2 linked regions of the Caenorhabditis elegans genome follow. The protein of the gene in region 2 interacts with the protein of the main gene of each other region in a pairwise test. Each region holds a gene or a part of one and is shown on either strand. Other genes may lie near its edges.

Region 1 (8,821 bases), on a different chromosome or scaffold from region 2:
GAATGAGCTTTTCTGTTGATTTGGGGATAGCTATATCAATCATATCCCTAATCTTATCACGAATTGTTTGCACTCGTTCTTTGTCTTTCTTTAACAATATGACATCGAATTTAACATCATCTACGACGCCTTCCTCCATCTTGATCTCTTTATAATTCTTCCTTCTCTCGTCAGCTTCCACTACTTTTTCCTGTTCTTTCAGTGCACGCTCCCACCAAGACACAAACTTTTCCATGTAGACAATTCCTGTGATCTTACTCAGCATGGCACGCTTGAAAATGTCTGGATGTTTAGTGATGAATGTTCCAACCAAGTTTTTAAGATTCAGTTTAAAACTGTGGAAATTCAATTTCTTCTCCTGTTCCGAAGCTTCGGTGACGAGCATTGCCAGCAAGTACTTCACCATAGTCTTATCCAAGTATTCAGGATTGTTTTCGGTCAGTTTGAGTCGATTGTAAAGCATAAACTTCAGAATATTATTTCCAACTTCAAAGCACTTTTTCTCGGTATAAGTCGGAGTTTTGTAGAAGTTAACAGTAGAATCATTAGAAATCCAATCAGAAATGATTTGTTCGGTTGTTGTGAAGCAGTTCGTCTGGAAAAAAAAAGTATTTTTACAATTCCTCAAAATTAATTTCAAGCATAATATTAGTTGAAATTTGCTTACCGAATTTAAAAATTTGACGCCGAGCAACTCCAAAAAAGGTTGTACAAAATCGAAATTAGCACAATCGCCTGGTGCTTCATAATATCGAATTCTATCAAAAGGAATGATGTCCCAGAGTTCACATGTCTCTAAGTCGTCCACATGATCTTCATAAAGTTCACAATCTTTCAGTTTCGTCCGTTTCACGCGAGCATCGATGTTCATCATTTCTCGTTCAACTTCGATCCACGAAATCTGCACGTCCCGTTGAGCTTGAAGACACGTCGCTATTGTTTCCTCGGTGCGTGAAATAAGAATATCAAAATCATCATTTTCCAATTTCTGAATATCTTCATCAGATAATTCTTCCGATTGTTTAAGCATCTTCTCTGCACCAACAGCACCTTCGTCGCCGATTCGCGGAAGACCAGATTCCCAGAATTCCTCCAATCTGACTTCCCGTTCTTTTGAATTAGTGCTCGTCCGCTTTTCAACATCAGCGAGTCCAAAATTGTATTCAAAAGTGGCCTGAAATAAGTAAAATCTTGAAAAAAAAAGTGATTTAATACTCACAAAACCAAAGGTTTCTTAGTATTTCCTAAAATCTCACCTGTATGTTTGCCAGTACCACTGGCGTGTGTGCACAGGAAATCATCCACTTCAAATAACGAATATAAATCCATAAATGGAACATTCTAAGCAATGGTCTATCGTTAACAGCATTCAAATGTGAAAGAAGTGTTCCATTTGTCAATCCAGTCACTTGTCGGATACAATCTTCGAATGCATTCTTCAATTTTTTGTAATTGTACACATTGCTATCATATTGTATATAGTCCAAATACTTGATCCATACCATTGGTTCATGTGGAAATGTGATGGTAAGATTTTTGAAGTCATCAATAATAGTAGGAGAGTTGGGATCCATTTTGATGAGTAATTCAATTTTCATCAATCGAAGTTTTGCATTTCTACCGTCGGCTTTAATGGCTTTTTTCACCATTTCCTGGTGACGTTCGGCAAGAGCTGCTGGATTTGAACTGGAGAAACTTCCAACATTCCGACGACACATTTCTTCTTCCATTGAAATTACTTTGATTAGAGCATCAATGTTATGAACATTTTCGGAAAATGTTTTCTTCGCCTGTTCGAGCTCAAATGTGAACGCATCTTTTCGATTATCCGAATCGTTTGCTAGAACATCATCGTCAATGTGCTGAAATCTTGGTTTTCGGTTTCCGATATATTCAAAATAACTCACATCAAGATTTAATAAATCAACTCTGTCACGAATCTTCCAGTAACCGCCGACTGGAGGCACATATCGAAAGAATGTCTCTTTCGGAACATCCTTCAAGTATCTATCCAGCTGCTCCCAGAATGGGCGGTTTTCCTTGTCTCTGGCATATTCCGCTCCATAAATATTCTGAAAACTGGTTTTTTGAAAAGATTAAAAAATAAGTGCCAAAACATACGTTGAACAGAATATTGTTATGCTCCAAACCGACAATAAACTTGACACTCAATCGACACTTGGCAATTTCTTTCTTCGGAACTCCTTGCGTATAGTTTTCACAATCACTTTTAGTTTGAGTAACTGTAATTTTTTCTCGTTGGAACTTTTTAAATTAACAATAATTTGAAAATTGCGCAGTATTTGCCGGCTGGCGATAATATGAATATTTAATTTCTAAATATATTTTAACTTTGAATCGTAAATAAGCATTAACTTTATTGTGATATGATCACTTTTTTCGATGAAAAAACTTACTAAACGCAGATGAAATGTACGCATCGCACGTGCGATATTCTTCATCGGTGAGAAATGCATATTTTGCAGGTTTGTTCATTTTCATTAAAGTGTGAGATGACGTATCCCGAGCACGAGATGACCTATCCCGAGAACGAGATGAACTAGAGCTTCGGCTACTGGATCTTTTTCGTCTGCGTTCCTTCTTTCTTCTCTTCTTTTCACGACTCCTGCTGCGTTGCCTGCCATTATCCCGATCGTATCGGCGACTGTGAGATCTCGATGGACTCCTGCTGTTGCTTGCTGAACGTTTACGACTTGTGGATTGTTGACTTGTTTCTGGTGGATCTTGGCAACCATTTAAGCTTTTAACGGACGGAAATGTATTGTAAGCAGTTGCCTGAGCTGCTCGGGCCGCAATTTTCGCGTCTCTCCTGAAATTTTATATTATTTTCAAACTAGAAAAATTATTTACGCACAAGGCATTTTGCTTTTTCACCTCTGGGAGAGTGAAAACATCATCTGGATCAATGTACCTGTGGGGGCTCATTCTAATCTGAAAGCAAAAATAAGTTTAAAGTTTAAATGTCACTGGCCTCACCCGAACACCACCATTATCGTCATCACTATCAGATTCTCCAATTCCAACTTGCTGAAAAACAGAGTCATTCTGCACGGCGAGTTTCTGTTTTTCGTTTCTTTTTAGAGTGGTAGTCTGAAATAAATCGCATGAAAGATGAAAAAAAAAACTAAATATTTCTCACCGCTCGTTGTTGAACAGCAGCCCTTGTTTGCGTATAAAGATCTGGATTCTCACCAGAAATTCCTGGAAAAATGAATTTTGCATTTATAAAAATGAGATGAATTCGTAGAAAAAACTTACTTTCTGGATTTTTCAATCCATTATTTCCATACGCTCGAAACATTGTTCATTAAGTTTGGTATGATATTACCCTGAAAACAGCTTAATTCACAATTTGCATAATTGTTTTTTTAATGAAAGAAAGAAAGTTTTAAACAAAAAAAAAAAGGAAAAATGTGACTGTTCGAAAAGAAAAACAAAGGTGTGGGAGGCCCCACGAAAAGGGGAGCAGAACGAAAAGGGGATCTGCAAAAAGGGGAGATACGAAAAGGGGAGATACGAAAAGGGGAGCTGGCACTGTGCCAAACGCACAAAACGCAATTTTTCTCACGCAACGCACGTTGATTTTTGAAGTTTTCTTCTAGAAGATACGCTTAACAACACGCGACGCGTAACATCGGAGCCGATGCACCATGTTTCGGATCGGTATAGGTTCAAAAGTGGTAGAATTATATAATTTATTACTGATAAATCCGTTGAATGATAAAAATGAGAAAGCTCATATTTAACATGCGACCTGCCGGTCCGGGAGTAAAACGAAGAAGTGACGATTTCCTTGCGCGGTGTCGACGTGTTGGGGTTTGATGTGCATGTGTGGTAGTACTGTAACACTCGTGACGTGTGTGTCTTTTGGCGCGGCTTTCAAACAGGAGTTTCCCGGCTTTGTCGTTGTTGATGACTTCGGTGGATTGTCGTGAGCATTTAGAATACGGAAAGACTTCGTAATAATCATAATAATTCTTTAATATTTCCTTGACGCATTTCCTGGGTATTAATATCATTTCTCAGTCGTGATCGGCGGAACATCAGTATTCTGCGTATTCGCGACAATCGTTGTATCGTTTTCTTCGAGAAAAATAGCGTTTGGCACAGTGCCAGATCCCCTTTTCGTTGCTCCCCTTTTCGTATCTCCCCTTTCCGTATCTCCCCTTTTCGCAGATCCCCTTTTTGCAGATCCCCTTTTCGTTCTGCTCCCCTTTTCGTGGGGCCTCAGATGTGGCCTTTGAACGCTGGCGCACTTTACGATATCGAGAAATGCGTCAGAAAATGTCATTGGAGCATAATCTGCCTTAGCGATTTCTGTTTTTTTCCAACAATCTTAATTTAATTTTTTAAAGTTTATTTTTCAATGCAGAATGTGTTTCAAAAAATAGAAATTCGTGAATTATAACGACGGCAGGTCTTTTTTGACGGCAGGTCCTTTAAATTCAGGGAAAATGAGCCGGAAAATCTGTTTTGCATCATCTAATTTTACTGAAAAGGTTGCAACTCTGTTTTAATACTACGTTTTCTTCAAGGATTACACAAAGTCTCTCCGAATTTCATTCCTTTAAAGAAATTATTGTTTCATACTTTGGCATAAGTACATATATAAATCATTTCCTTTAATCAATATTCCTTAGAATATTTTTGCACCATCCCAAGCTTCAATCTATTCTTTCAGATGTCTTGGTTATTTGGTGTTCAAAAAAACGCTACTCCGCAGATTCCGGATGATTTTCAAGCAGGTGCTGCTCCTGGCGGTCCACAACAACCAGGTCAAGGCCAACGGCAAGAGGGAAACAGCAAAATGGCATATTCCTTCGACTCAACAGCTTTGGAGCGTGCCGCCAAGGCTGCTCGTGATCTAGAGAAATTTCCAAATGCCAAAGAAGCTCTTGAATTGTCGAGAATGCAAGAAGTTACACGCCAAAAAGAGGTCGAGAACGAGACCAAGAAGATCGAAGCTCAATTGGCCAATATGAAATCAGAGCACATTCGTGTTGCTGAAGAAGAACGGAGGAAGACTTTGGGAGAAGAGACTAAACATGCGCATTCGGTAATTTTTCCAAACATCTGAATACATAACAACTAAATAATTTCAGCGTGCTGAATATCAAGATCAATTGGCCAGAAAGAGAGCCGAAGAGGAGCTTGCCATGAAAGCTAGAATGCAGGAAGAAAGCCTCCGAAAACAAGAAGAGTCTGTCAAGAAGCAGGAACAACTTCGCAAGCAAACTATTGAGCATGAGTTAGCATTAAAACACAAATACGAGCTCGAGAAAATTGACGCAGAGACCAGAGCCAGGGCAAAGGCTGCTCGAGATAACAGAGATGTAAACTTAGAGCAAATGAAGCTTCACGAAGAAGAGAACCGAAAAACTGTCATTGAAAAAATTAAAACCAGTGGAGAACTTATCGGTTCTGGACTCAATCAATTTTTGAATGATAAAACGAAAATCGCTGCTGCAGTAGGAGGATTGACTGCTTTGGCTGTCGGCTGGTATACCGCTAAACGAGGAACTGGAGTCACCGCAAGATACATCGAATCTCGTCTCGGAAAACCAAGTCTTGTAAGAGAAACATCCAGAATCACTCCACTTGAAGTACTCAAACACCCAATTAAAAGTGTTCAAATGATGACTCGTCAGAAGAAGGATCCACTGAATGGAGTTGTATTACCACCTGCTTTGGAACGTCGTCTTCGTGATATTGCCATTACCACCTCAAACACAAAGAGAAATAATGGACTTTTCCGTAATGTAATGTTCTACGGACCACCAGGAACCGGAAAGACACTTTTCGCAAAGAGTTTGGCTCAACATTCCGGACTCGATTACGCAGTTCTCACTGGAGGAGATATTGCTCCACTTGGACGTGATGGAGTATCTGCAATTCATAAAGTATTCGACTGGGCTTCAAAAAGTCGCAAAGGGTTGATTGTTTTTATTGACGAAGCTGACGCTTTTTTGCAAAAGAGATCAAAGAATGGAATGTCTGAAGACACACGTGCAGCTCTCAACGCTTTCCTCTTCAGAACTGGAGAGCAGTCGAGAAAGTTCATGCTTGTCGTGGCTTCTAATCAGCCAGAGCAGTTCGATTGGGCAGTTAACGATCGGTAATCCTTTTTTTTAAATAAAAAACAGAATTTATTATTCTTTTCAGTTTCGATCAGCTTGTCGAATTCACACTGCCAGGAATGGAAGAACGTGAACGAATTCTTCTGCAATACTTCAACGAGCACATCGTCACTCCAGCAACTAGTGGATCTCGTTCTCAACGACTGAAACTCGATAACTTTGATTGGGTTGCTAAGTGTAATGAAGTTGCCAAAAAGACATCTGGAATGAGTGGAAGAGAATTGAGTAAACTTGTCATCGGATGGCAAGCTTCTGCATATGCATCTGAAACCGGAGTGCTCACCGAGGCTATCGTTGATCGTAATACTGCTGACGCAATGGTTCAACATGAACATAAGATGGAATGGCTTGAGAAGGAGCAATTGAAAGCTCGTAACCAAGAAGTCAAGTTCGGAACTACGTTGAAGAGAGAAACTGCTGTTTAATTTCAAAATATTCATTTCCTTGTTCATGATACTCTATTGTTTTCTATTTACGTTTTTTTGTTGTTTTTTCTTTTCTGAAATCTTCAAACTTCCGGTAATTTCGTAATTTCATTCTTAATCAGAAATTTTGCTGATAATATAATTTTTTTAGATAATTCAATTAGGCCCTTGTTTTTCTATTGTTTTTTTTCGTTTTCCCCTTATTTTCTAGGTCAGTCATTTTTATTTAGTTTTTGTGTAGTAATTTAAGTAGAGTGAAAGATTATTGTTTTTTTTTTGTTAATAAAGAAACTCTTCATTTTAATGTAATACTAACTAATAATCGCTTTTGTTGCACTTCAATTTTTCATATTTTGAAAGCTTCTGAAGAGAAAAAGCAAAAAAAATAATTTTCAGCCCAAATGTTCGATTAAAACGATCAAATGGATACTGAAACAAAAAACTTGCGGGAGGCCGGAGAGGTCTTTCTGTTTATGCACAGGTAAGAAGGAAAAAGCTGGCAATATATGGTTTTTTCAGAAAATAAGAAATCAATTGAAATTAAACGTTTATGAGCTTTTAGCCTAATATTTCCAGAAAAGCAACAATAAAAAGCTAGAAACCACAATTTTCAATATCAGAAATCCTGAAAAACAATAATTTCAGAATCTTCCGTGCATCCCGCAATCTTCGTGCACATTGGTACATTGATCATCTCGGAAAGGCCGTATCAATCGAAGAAGTTCCACAATGCTCATCATATAAACCATCAAAAGATCCAAAAGATGAGTACAGGCAAGAGATGACAGTCATCGGGATTGTACCAGCCGGAGGAGATGGTACAGAAGTCGTTGGAGACGAGCAATTCATTGTGACTGTCAGAACGAAATGCACATATATATCCAGATATTATCGAATTGTTTTTGTTCTTGATCTCAGTCCATCCGTTGTTATGGCGGTGAGTTGGTTTTGGCACGGCTGCGCTGCATTGTTCATCTGAAAATTCTACAAAATGAGCCTTGGTTTTTTGGTCCCAAAAACCAAAAAATCAATGTTTCGTCAAAATACCAAAAAAAAAAACAAATGAAAAACCTAACAAGTCCCAGCCCAGAGCAATTGTGCGAAATCACGTAATTTTTCAGGACGATGAATCCAACTGTTGCCTCGTTGATCGAATCATCCCAAGCCTTCGAAATGCTCTACGATCATCAGTAAAATCATTTGTCATACCCGGAACGAATCGAATTTTTCGTCCTCAAGTTCACACGTCCATCTGCTTGTTCACACCTTTTATGAAGTTTGAGGAGACTTTTGTACGTTCTTTTTTCCGCTTGCATCCGAATTCATAAATTATTTCAGACGTTATGCCAAGGAGTCTTCGTCACTGAATCAAATGTTGATATGGTAATTGAATCGGTTGAGATAAAGTTCGTCGACATCTACAAACGACTGTTCACCTTCTCCCGTCCGATTCTCGAAATGTGGGGAAAACTGAAACGTCGTCACAAGCACAATAAATTCGATTCACTTTGTGAGAGTGACTCGCAGAGTGAAGATTGCAGTCGAAAAGTACCATCAGCGGAAAATATTCACTTATCTGAATCTTCCGCAGCATCGACTTCACACAAAAATGATGGAGATGCAGACAGAGCAATGGATGGTGGGAATCTTATGTCAATACAACGTGGAATATGGTCTGCAACTGAACGTCATGAAGATCAGAAACAATTGTCATTTGCAAGTGATAAGAGTTATGTTGCACCGGATTGGTCGCTGATATTTATGCTTCGAATGGGTCTTTTACAGATTCAGATGCTCCCCGAAAATACTCAATCTAGTGAGTTATCAAGTCACAGGGCTGGGAACAAAAAAAATTAGATTTCCCAGAAATTGAAAAAAAAAAGTTTTTTCGATTTTCTGATATTCTGAAAAAAAAACAGATTTTACAGATAAGTGGAAAAACGAAAAAAAAATTCAATTTCACAAAAGAAAGGTTTTTAAAAAAATATTTTCGATTTTTCAAAAATTAGCTTCAAATTTTGGTTTTTTCTCAAATTATGAACAAAATTAGAATTAAAAAATCATATTTTATGATTCTTTTTTTTTTTTTGAATTACCGATATTCCGAAGAAAAATTGCGATTTTTCGAACAGCGGAAAAACTTTTTAAAAATTTCGATTTTACAAAAATTTGGACTTTTCTTTTGAAGATTTTCCAATTTTTGAAAATCGAGAAAAAAATCAAATCACAAAAATGGGT
Region 2 (8,496 bases):
ATATAAACAAAATGTGATTTTTAAAAAAGTAATTTTATGGTTTTTTTTTATTTTCCAGAAAATCGAAAAAATTTATTTTTTCGATTTTTCGATTCTCTTGAAAAAATATAGTTAACGAAAAATGTTCGATGACACCCTTGACTGTGATTTAAAATTATATTTAGAATTTTTATTTTTCAAAATTTTTTAAAACATACCTACAAAGAAAGCTACCACCTTCTTTTGTCGTATGATCTTGTCGAATATGTCGTGCAAACTCGGAAGCCGTCATAAGCTCGATAATTGGCTGACAATAATCACATATTCTTGGATAACCAATCTCCGGTTGAATTTTGAGTGAAGCTCTTGATGAACTTGCAGATATAAGACCTACTGTTCGGTCATCCATTGATTTCATTTGTGAATCATTTCTGGAAATAAGAATTAGTAAAAAACTAAAAATTTTGATAGTAAATATAATAATCTGCAAGAGACAGTGTTGAAATCGGAGAAAAATAAAATTACAAACGTTCAATATTCATTATTATGGCTCACAAAAAAAGAGAATCGGAATAGAAATGGTACTTGAGCAGCACTTAGTGCGAAATAATGGAGCGAGAAGAATGAGAAAGATTCAGAGAGAAAAAAGGCTAAAATATTCCCACCACTCGCACTAAAACGTCGATAAAATGTAAAGAACATTTGAATATTAACTTTTTTGACCGAGAAGCTGGGAGTTCTATTTTATACCTGTGGGATTGTTATCTATGAATTTTACTTTTTTCCTATTCTACATCGCAATAATACGCATTATACTTAGCACCAAAAATTGTCACGAAGTGAAACAGATGAATAACAGAGAAAATTGAATTGAATATTGAACAAACCGAGAAAAAAGAGAAGAAAGCAGAGAGAGAGAGAGGTAATACAATTAATATTACAAGTATTTAATTCAGAAAATGGGGAGAAAAAGATCAACGGCGTCCTCTGATGAATCTGTAGGCAAGGTATCCAGAGATAGTCAATGCTCCAAGACCGATTGAAACATACAAAGCTTCGGTTAGCCAAGAATTGCTGAAAGTTATCATTTGGTACTTTTCCGATTTCTGCCCCCCCAAAATGTTTTTTACTCAATATTTTAATTTAAATTCACACGTAAATGTTTATTTCAATACAATTTCAATTTTTAGGCTTATGGGATGATGCAAGTGAATTTCTCGTCATTTCTCGACAAATTTATTTACCAAAATTTCACCAAAAAAATTTATTTACCAAATAATAATATTTAATTTTTTTTTTCTGTCCAGTCAGATTTTAATAATAAAAATCGCGAATTTTTTAATTTCCGATTAATAAAACTTACTTTCTCGGATCCAAAAGACTAAGTGGTTTACGTGGTGTTCTCGGTACATCGTCAATGATGGAATGAGTGGAAGGAGCATAGGAAGTAACACTTTGAGCATCTTCTTCTTCGTAAACTTTTCCACGAATTCTGAAAATCAATAAGAAATAAATTCAGAAAAATTTTAAAATTTACCTTTCTATAACAGCCGAAAGTCCATGAGACGTCAAACGGCTTTTTGATTCCGAATGCGACATCGACTTTGGTGTGTCTGTATTATTCTGAGTACTACGAGTCTGTGGAGTGACTTGAGGAGTAATTGAAACAGAAGCAGTTGGAGTTTGTGTTCGATCTTCTTGAAGATGTAAGTATTCTCGATCAATCAACATTTTAGCCACATGACCGATTTTAACACTTCGAAATACTTCCACAGCTTCATCGTGTGTCTTGTAGGTCATATCGATACCGTCAAACTAAACATTGGAACAATTTAAATTAATAATTACTTTAATCGGAAACTAACCGACAAAATTTTATCGCCTGTTCTTACGACTCCATATGATTTTGACTCGCTATTAACTGATGAGACGTATATTCCGATATCTCCAACAAAGTGAGGATTGTCTGTTCCACCAACTATATTGAATCCGAAACCTGTAAAATGAGTACTATATAGACGTTTAAAAATACAATTTATACCTTTAGATGTTTTTTCTATTTCAACTACTGTCAATGCCTCCAATGGAACAGATTCTTGTCCATTTCCATCTGTAGTCGTATCATTGAATGTCATGTCGTCCGTTGCTTCTGCAGCAAATGAAATATCGAATGTATGATCTTCATCAGCGTGAAATGGGGAGGAAACGAGAGCGGCATGATCTGAATATTCTTACCAACTCTCGAGTCCTTCCATAGTTTAATACTTACGTTCATAAACTGGATCTGAATCGGTATTGAACACTGTATCCTCTTGCGGAGGAGACACCATCATTCTGAACAATTTGAAGATTTTTGTAAATTTCGAAAATCACTAATTCCAAATGAAATAAATAATACACAGAAAACAACTGCTGTAATTATAAACGTAGAGAAATAACACCATTTAAAAATATTTATTCATGTGGTTGCGGATGAATTGTATAACTGGATATGAAATTTCGTTTTCACATTTTTTGGAAAAGAGTTTAAAACTTAGGACTGAATCCGTAAAAAGTGAGAAAAGAGAACGTTGGAAAGAGATAGAAGTGAGAAACCCATATGGATGGTAATCAGTGCTGATTATTGAGCCTGTTGTTCATTAATTTGTAGATGCTCTCCTTTACATATTGCTTATTGTGGGGGACATATGTGTATGTTGTCTGCAATTTTTTTTCCGATATTTAAAATATGTTTTAAAAACCAACATTGTCGAGAACCAGCATTGAAAGATCTTTGAGGTCGTCGATGAACTCGAAAAGGTGCGATATGTCATAGGTGATTTCGTTTTGAGCCGGAACCTTCTTTTTCAAATATTCTTCGTAGACTCTGCAGATTCCTATAAGTTAAAAGTTTTTAATTGATTATAAACTTTTAATTTTAAAATGTAATTTGGTTTTTGTTACTCACCTTCAAGACATTCCGTGGTATTCTCATAATCCGACCATGAACGTGACTCGATGTTGTCTGTCGGTTGGAGCAGAAGAATTGTGTGACTCATTTTCAAAAAATTGAGAATATTTTTGAAAGGGAAAAAACGGAGTAAATCTGCAACGTCAACGCAAAAAAAATATTAGCAAGAAGTGCGCCAGTACGTCGAATAGTGCGTCAGCGACGTCCACTGGCGCGCTTTTGGTGTTCGGGCAATTTTTATTTTTATTTTTTCTTTCTTCTATAATTTAACAATTTCCATACTGTTTGAGGTTTTTTGCATAAATTGTGAAAATCGAACAATTCCTATCAAATTTTCATTTTCTCAACACAAATTCTAAAAATTATTTTCAGGTGATTTCGCCATGTCAGGCTTATCTCACGCCGGCCGCCAGGTTGCACGTATTGCAGTTCGACAAGCATCGTCTCACTCTCAGTAAGTTTTTTTTAGTGTTAAAGGCTAAATAATCTGATGTCAAGAAATCATGTTAAAAAACGATATCAATGGAATTTTCGATATTTCAGAAAATATCTGTGTTCTTACCAGGAATTTTATTTTAAACAATAGCTTTTTCGTATTCGTAATGCAATTAGTTTACTAAGTGATTATTCTTAACAAATATAACAAATGCTCACTTTCTTATTTAATCTGTTCCGAAATACTAAATATTTAATCATCTATCCAAAAATATGCGTTTGCTCCCTTTAAAAGCATTAAAAAATGCATTAAATTGTTGATCTCTTAAAGAACAAAATTGATTTTTCAATGCTTGTAATATCTATCCCTCGAATACAAAACAGTTTCCTAAATTGGTGAATTTTTGAATCATAAATTTTCAAATTATTGCAGTGACTCCCACGCCGTCTGGAAAGAAATCAACAGACTCGGAAGTGAGGGAAAATGGGATAATGTGAACAACATGCCAAAAATGTTTTTGTTTGGTGAAGCCAAGCAGGAGACGACAGCTGCTTATCGTGCAATTGTGAGTTTTTTAAAGAATTAATTATGTTCCCGAAAGTACAGTCGGTTCGAAAATAGTTCGAAAATATGTTTTTGTTTTGAGAATTAATTGCAATGCTTTCAAAATAAGATAACCTTAGTACTTAGTTTACTGAATTTTTAATTTTTTGATCATAAAGCTTCCACAGCTATAGATTTATAGTGTCGGGACTGTCCGGCGAGGCTAAAAACTTGGCTTTTGAAGCCGCCATAATGTTTTTAAAAAAATTTCAAAGTTCTTCACAAAATCATATATTTTGTTATGAAATGGCATAAGTACTACAAAAAAAATCAATTTTCTCATGCATAAGTAATTAAAAAAATTTTAAACAAGAAAACGTTCAATTTTTAAAAAGTGACAGCATAAAATAAAACGCAATGCGATTTGTATTGTTTTATTTCAGAACAAAGACCCCGACTTCTTCCGTCAATCTCCATATGGTCAATATTTGAAAATTGTGTGGCGATTGGCTCTTCTTTTCGGAATCATCAAAGCCGGAACTGTTGTCTACGATTTTGCCGTTCCAGAAGAGCAGCGACTCAAGTACAAGTACCGTAATCACGGACATCACGGTCACGACGATGCCCATGACTAAATTTCTGATTCACCACCGTCCGAACGTCTTCTTTTTGCATAGGAAGAAAGAGCCCATTTTAGTGTATTTGTAATCATTATCATTATCACAAAAAGATTTTTCTTGTAAAAAATGTCTTCCCATAAACATTCACAACATTGCAAAGAACATATCCAATATTCGAATTAGAAGACCACCCAGATGGAAATTAAATACGTCGGCTGGTTTTATTTGCGCCGTCAATTCAGTTATCGAAAAAATCATCATCGTCATAAACTTAGTTATTGATTATTTCCTGATAACTACTTATACGTTCAACCAAATCATTTCGTTATCAGCCACAGTTTATATGTGCCATAAGATTCTTCAGCACTCAACTTTTCCAGTTTCTTATTTTTTGAACTTACCAATGCTAGAAGTATAAACATAGAAATTCACATTCTTTCTAGTTAACTTCTCTGCAATGACTGGTCGTTTTTGGAAAACATGGTTTGTACTCAAACTATTCAATTTTTTTGCCGAATTCTTCTTCGAGCCCTTGCCATAGATTATTCATTGTGTGACATCTCTATTGTATTCTCTATTATTTAGTACTAACTTCTCTGGAATTCGACTTGCATGTCATACTATTAGAGTATATGGCCGTGATGATAGGCTTGTGATGATATACCTTGTGAGGGCTGTGAAAAACAACAAAAAATCGAATTTCTCCAGAAAACCAAAAAAAAAACACTCTATTTTTTTCGATTTTTCATCAATCCAACTAAAACATAACATCTTTGAAAAACAATTTTTCTGTTAATTTGGTCTGAAAAAAAAATCAAAAATCCATTTTTACGAAAAAACCAAAAAAGCAAAAAACCGACAGCTCTGCTATGATATACTCATCTATGATGTGATATAGATGAATGTCTAGCGATGATTTTTTATAGAAACAATATGCCCGATTATTGAGCCTTAAAAATTCACTAAAATTTCTCAATTAATCTTTGTTTGCCGAGTTTGACATATAAGTTGCTAGAAGCTATTGATCTTTTCCATTTTCCAACAACAAATATTTGACCTTCAATACAACAACACTAATTTATTAGCACAATCACTATCAAATCTGCACGTACTTTTGTATTTATTTAATGATTTAATCAAGAGTCTTTTATCAAACTACATAGATATTCTAAGTGTCACATGAAAATCAGTTGGCAAATATATACATTTTAAAACTATTTTATAAACCGTTTCAAGACAAGTACACTTGAAGCTATCTCTGATTACTAAAATACTATCAAGATCTATCTCTTCAGTTATTGATGTTCTTACATGTATTGCTATTGACATAAAATTCTACGTATTTACAGAACAAATGTTGATATTCCTGTTTTTGCTGTTTCTTTCAGCTCCACTATGCAAGTTTGTATTGTATCCAGTGATATACGCGTTCCTTAAATGGAGACATCCGGTCAAGTGAGTACTAATGTGATTATGGACCCAGTATGGGGCAATTGATCACTTTTTTGTTTACGACCCAAACTGGTTATCTATATTGAAATTCGAGTTTTTTGTCAATTGTGATTTGATACTATCAGTTGATTAACAAGTGAGCACACTTTTTTTTTTGAATGAATAGCAGAAACCATACTTTGATAAATTGACAAAAAGTTGAAACTTCTATCTAGATTTCTATGGAAAATATGAACGATGACTATCCGATTCGTTCACTCTTATAGTATTTAAAGAAAAGACATGTGCTTGAATAGATAAAAGATTGATTTAAAAAATTACTCAAACGTTTTTGCAATACTTTAAATACCACTCATTTTTTTTCGCTGATCGAAATTTGGAAATCGTACTTTTAAAACATTTTCAAAATAAAATCTTTAACTGTTCCCTTCTTGCATATTGATGGTATTCATGCATATTGTCTTTTTATAAGTTCTAGTGAATTACCGAGATTTTTTTGATTTTTTTTAAACTAAAAAAGGCTACAGTAGACTCAATACAATTTCAGAAAGTTCACTGCTCCAACTGCAAAGATTCGTGACATTATAAACCCTGATAAAGAGGAATGGGAACTGGAACATATTAAAAATGAAGTATGAATAATAAAAATAGACACGAAATTCGTCCTTTTTTTGCAGGAAATTCTAACAATTAGCGGTTCTGGAGAAGATAATAGTTTTGTGTATATTCAAGTTATAACAAAGAATGAAATTCATTTTGCTCATATTCGAGTTTTCGAAAAAGGAATTCTTTATTCCGGATCATACAAAGCAGTATTCTCCGATAATCGAACAATTTCATGTGGACCATTGCTAATTGAGCTTCGAAACCCATTCCGTAAATGGAGAATTAATTTCCGTGGATACCTGAATGATGCTAAAGGCAACTCTCATTTTGTTATACTTTCGGGATGGTGGAAATGTGTGTCGAATGCTAGATTTTTCTATTCAAATGCTCTTTTGAAGTCATTCAATGAAATTTACAATGACAAACCAACTGCACTGATTGAGAATTTGAAAACTATCGAAAAGTGACTGAATCATTTCTTACAAATACGTTATATCAACTTTAGGTACCGAAAAGGAAATGTGTTAAACCAAATGGGTGAATATCACGCAGAAATCAAAATTGGGAAAGATGAAGTTGTCGAACATAGATATAGAGGTTGAAAACACACGATACAAAAACCAAATTCCATCAAAGTTTCAGGACTTCGTCATAGAAATCCATTAGACTTGGAGACAAGTTCTACACATTTTCATACATACCTGAGCGTAAGGTTTATTTATCTTTTTTGTATTATAGAAAAGTAGAAATACTTTTTGGCTTATCCCGCTTAAGAAAGTAGTTTTCAGGATGCAAATGCAATTTCCTATCGTGTCAACTCTGTAGATGAAAAGAAATCAGTTAGTCACGGAGTGGGATTCCGTTCAGATCACAGTGCTCGTCCAATAATTATTGATAATTCTCATTCCCTTGAGTCAGATAATATGCTTCCAGTTCAATTCAAATATGTTTCACGTGGACTTCTCCCTCTTGAAATGAGAAAAGGACGAAAATTATGTCATTTCACGTTTATTCGAGAAGACAACAAGGTTGTCGACGTTACTGCGTTAGAAGTTAATTCTGCAATTTTTACGGGAGTTGGATTTGTGGTTAGAGTGAGAGAGGCAATTCATGAAGTTACAACTAAACTTCCCGATAGTTTCCCGGAATATCATGCAACTGAATCAGAAAAGATGAAATCAGTAGTCTCATTCAATCACAGAGCATGTCAGGATAAAATGTTAACTGGCGGAAAAGGTGCGAATTTAGCAAGACTTCAAGCAATCACCGATGATGTAAGTTCTGAAAGTAAGCATATACAATGTTGAAATAGATTTTCAGTTCCATGTGCCTCCTGGAATAGTTGTCACTACCGCAGCTTTCAACAAGCATGTAATTGCGAATCCAAATGTTTTAGAAGAAATAAAACTTCTCGATATCAACGATAAAAATGCCGAGTATTATGAGGATGTTGGTAAAAGGTAATAAAATAAGTTATCAATCCAATATTTAGAAACATGACATATTTTAGAATTGAAGGGCTTCTTTTCGAAAGTGAAGTGTCTCAAGAACTGCAAAAAGAAATTAAGGAGTGGTTACCGCGTTCTGAATACTATGCAGTAAGATCATCTGCAGTTGGAGAAGATGGAGCAGATCTTTCATCAGCTGGACAACTGGAAAGTTACTTGGATGTGATTGAAATTGATATAGTTGATAAACTGAAGCTGTGTTGGGGCTCTAATTTTAGAAGAGAAGTATTGAATTACAGAAAGTAGGTTTTAACAAGTTAAAATTTCAATCACAATGTGACGTTTACAGAAACTACGGTCAGCAGCTTAATCCGTCAATGGCTGTAGTTATTCAAGAAATGGATCGAAACGGAGTGGCTGGAGTTATGTTCACCGCAAATCCAGTAAAATTAGATCGTGGAG

Evidence for each region.
Region 1: the proteins of mics-1 (region 2) and atad-3 interact in a two-hybrid assay, tested with the Caenorhabditis elegans proteins (one study listed by BioGRID).

The regions. Positions count from the first base shown.
Region 1 is NC_003280.10:10,244,289-10,253,109, forward strand, and holds atad-3 (ATPase family AAA domain-containing protein 3), read left to right. Parts: upstream 1-4,702; coding exon 4,703-5,077; intron 5,078-5,123; coding exon 5,124-6,136; intron 6,137-6,183; coding exon 6,184-6,583; 3' UTR 6,584-6,876; downstream 6,877-8,821. Other genes in the region: nrde-2 (Nuclear exosome regulator NRDE2), read right to left, coding at 1-595, 668-1,174, 1,257-1,862, 1,908-2,072, 2,122-2,243, 2,418-2,830, 2,876-2,952, 2,998-3,111 and 2 more; F54B3.1 (Protein SZT2), read left to right, coding at 7,006-7,064, 7,229-7,520, 7,705-7,875, 7,922-8,399. UniProt on the Caenorhabditis elegans protein: Essential for mitochondrial network organization, mitochondrial metabolism and cell growth at organism and cellular level. Important during development for the up-regulation of mitochondrial activity during the transition to higher larval stages.
Region 2 is NC_003283.11:10,576,010-10,584,505, forward strand, and holds mics-1 (PDZ domain-containing protein), read right to left. Parts: upstream 2,318-8,496; 5' UTR 2,313-2,317; coding exon 2,249-2,312; intron 2,201-2,248; coding exon 2,021-2,200; intron 1,976-2,020; coding exon 1,845-1,975; intron 1,795-1,844; coding exon 1,517-1,794; intron 1,472-1,516; coding exon 1,343-1,471; intron 1,054-1,342; coding exon 954-1,053; 3' UTR 501-953; downstream 1-500. Other genes in the region: vps-54 (Vacuolar protein sorting-associated protein 54), read right to left, coding at 198-397; erh-1 (Enhancer of rudimentary homolog), read right to left, coding at 2,590-2,679, 2,725-2,855, 2,927-3,017; lpd-9 (LiPid Depleted), read left to right, coding at 3,313-3,383, 3,798-3,930, 4,352-4,543; T21C9.6 (Phosphoenolpyruvate synthase), read left to right, coding at 5,883-5,983, 6,528-6,612, 6,658-7,049, 7,092-7,183, 7,229-7,293, 7,375-7,860, 7,907-8,046, 8,097-8,336 and 1 more. UniProt on the Caenorhabditis elegans protein: Plays a role in the regulation of lifespan in a partially daf-16-mediated manner, and may be involved in regulating the levels of reactive oxygen species production in response to heat stress.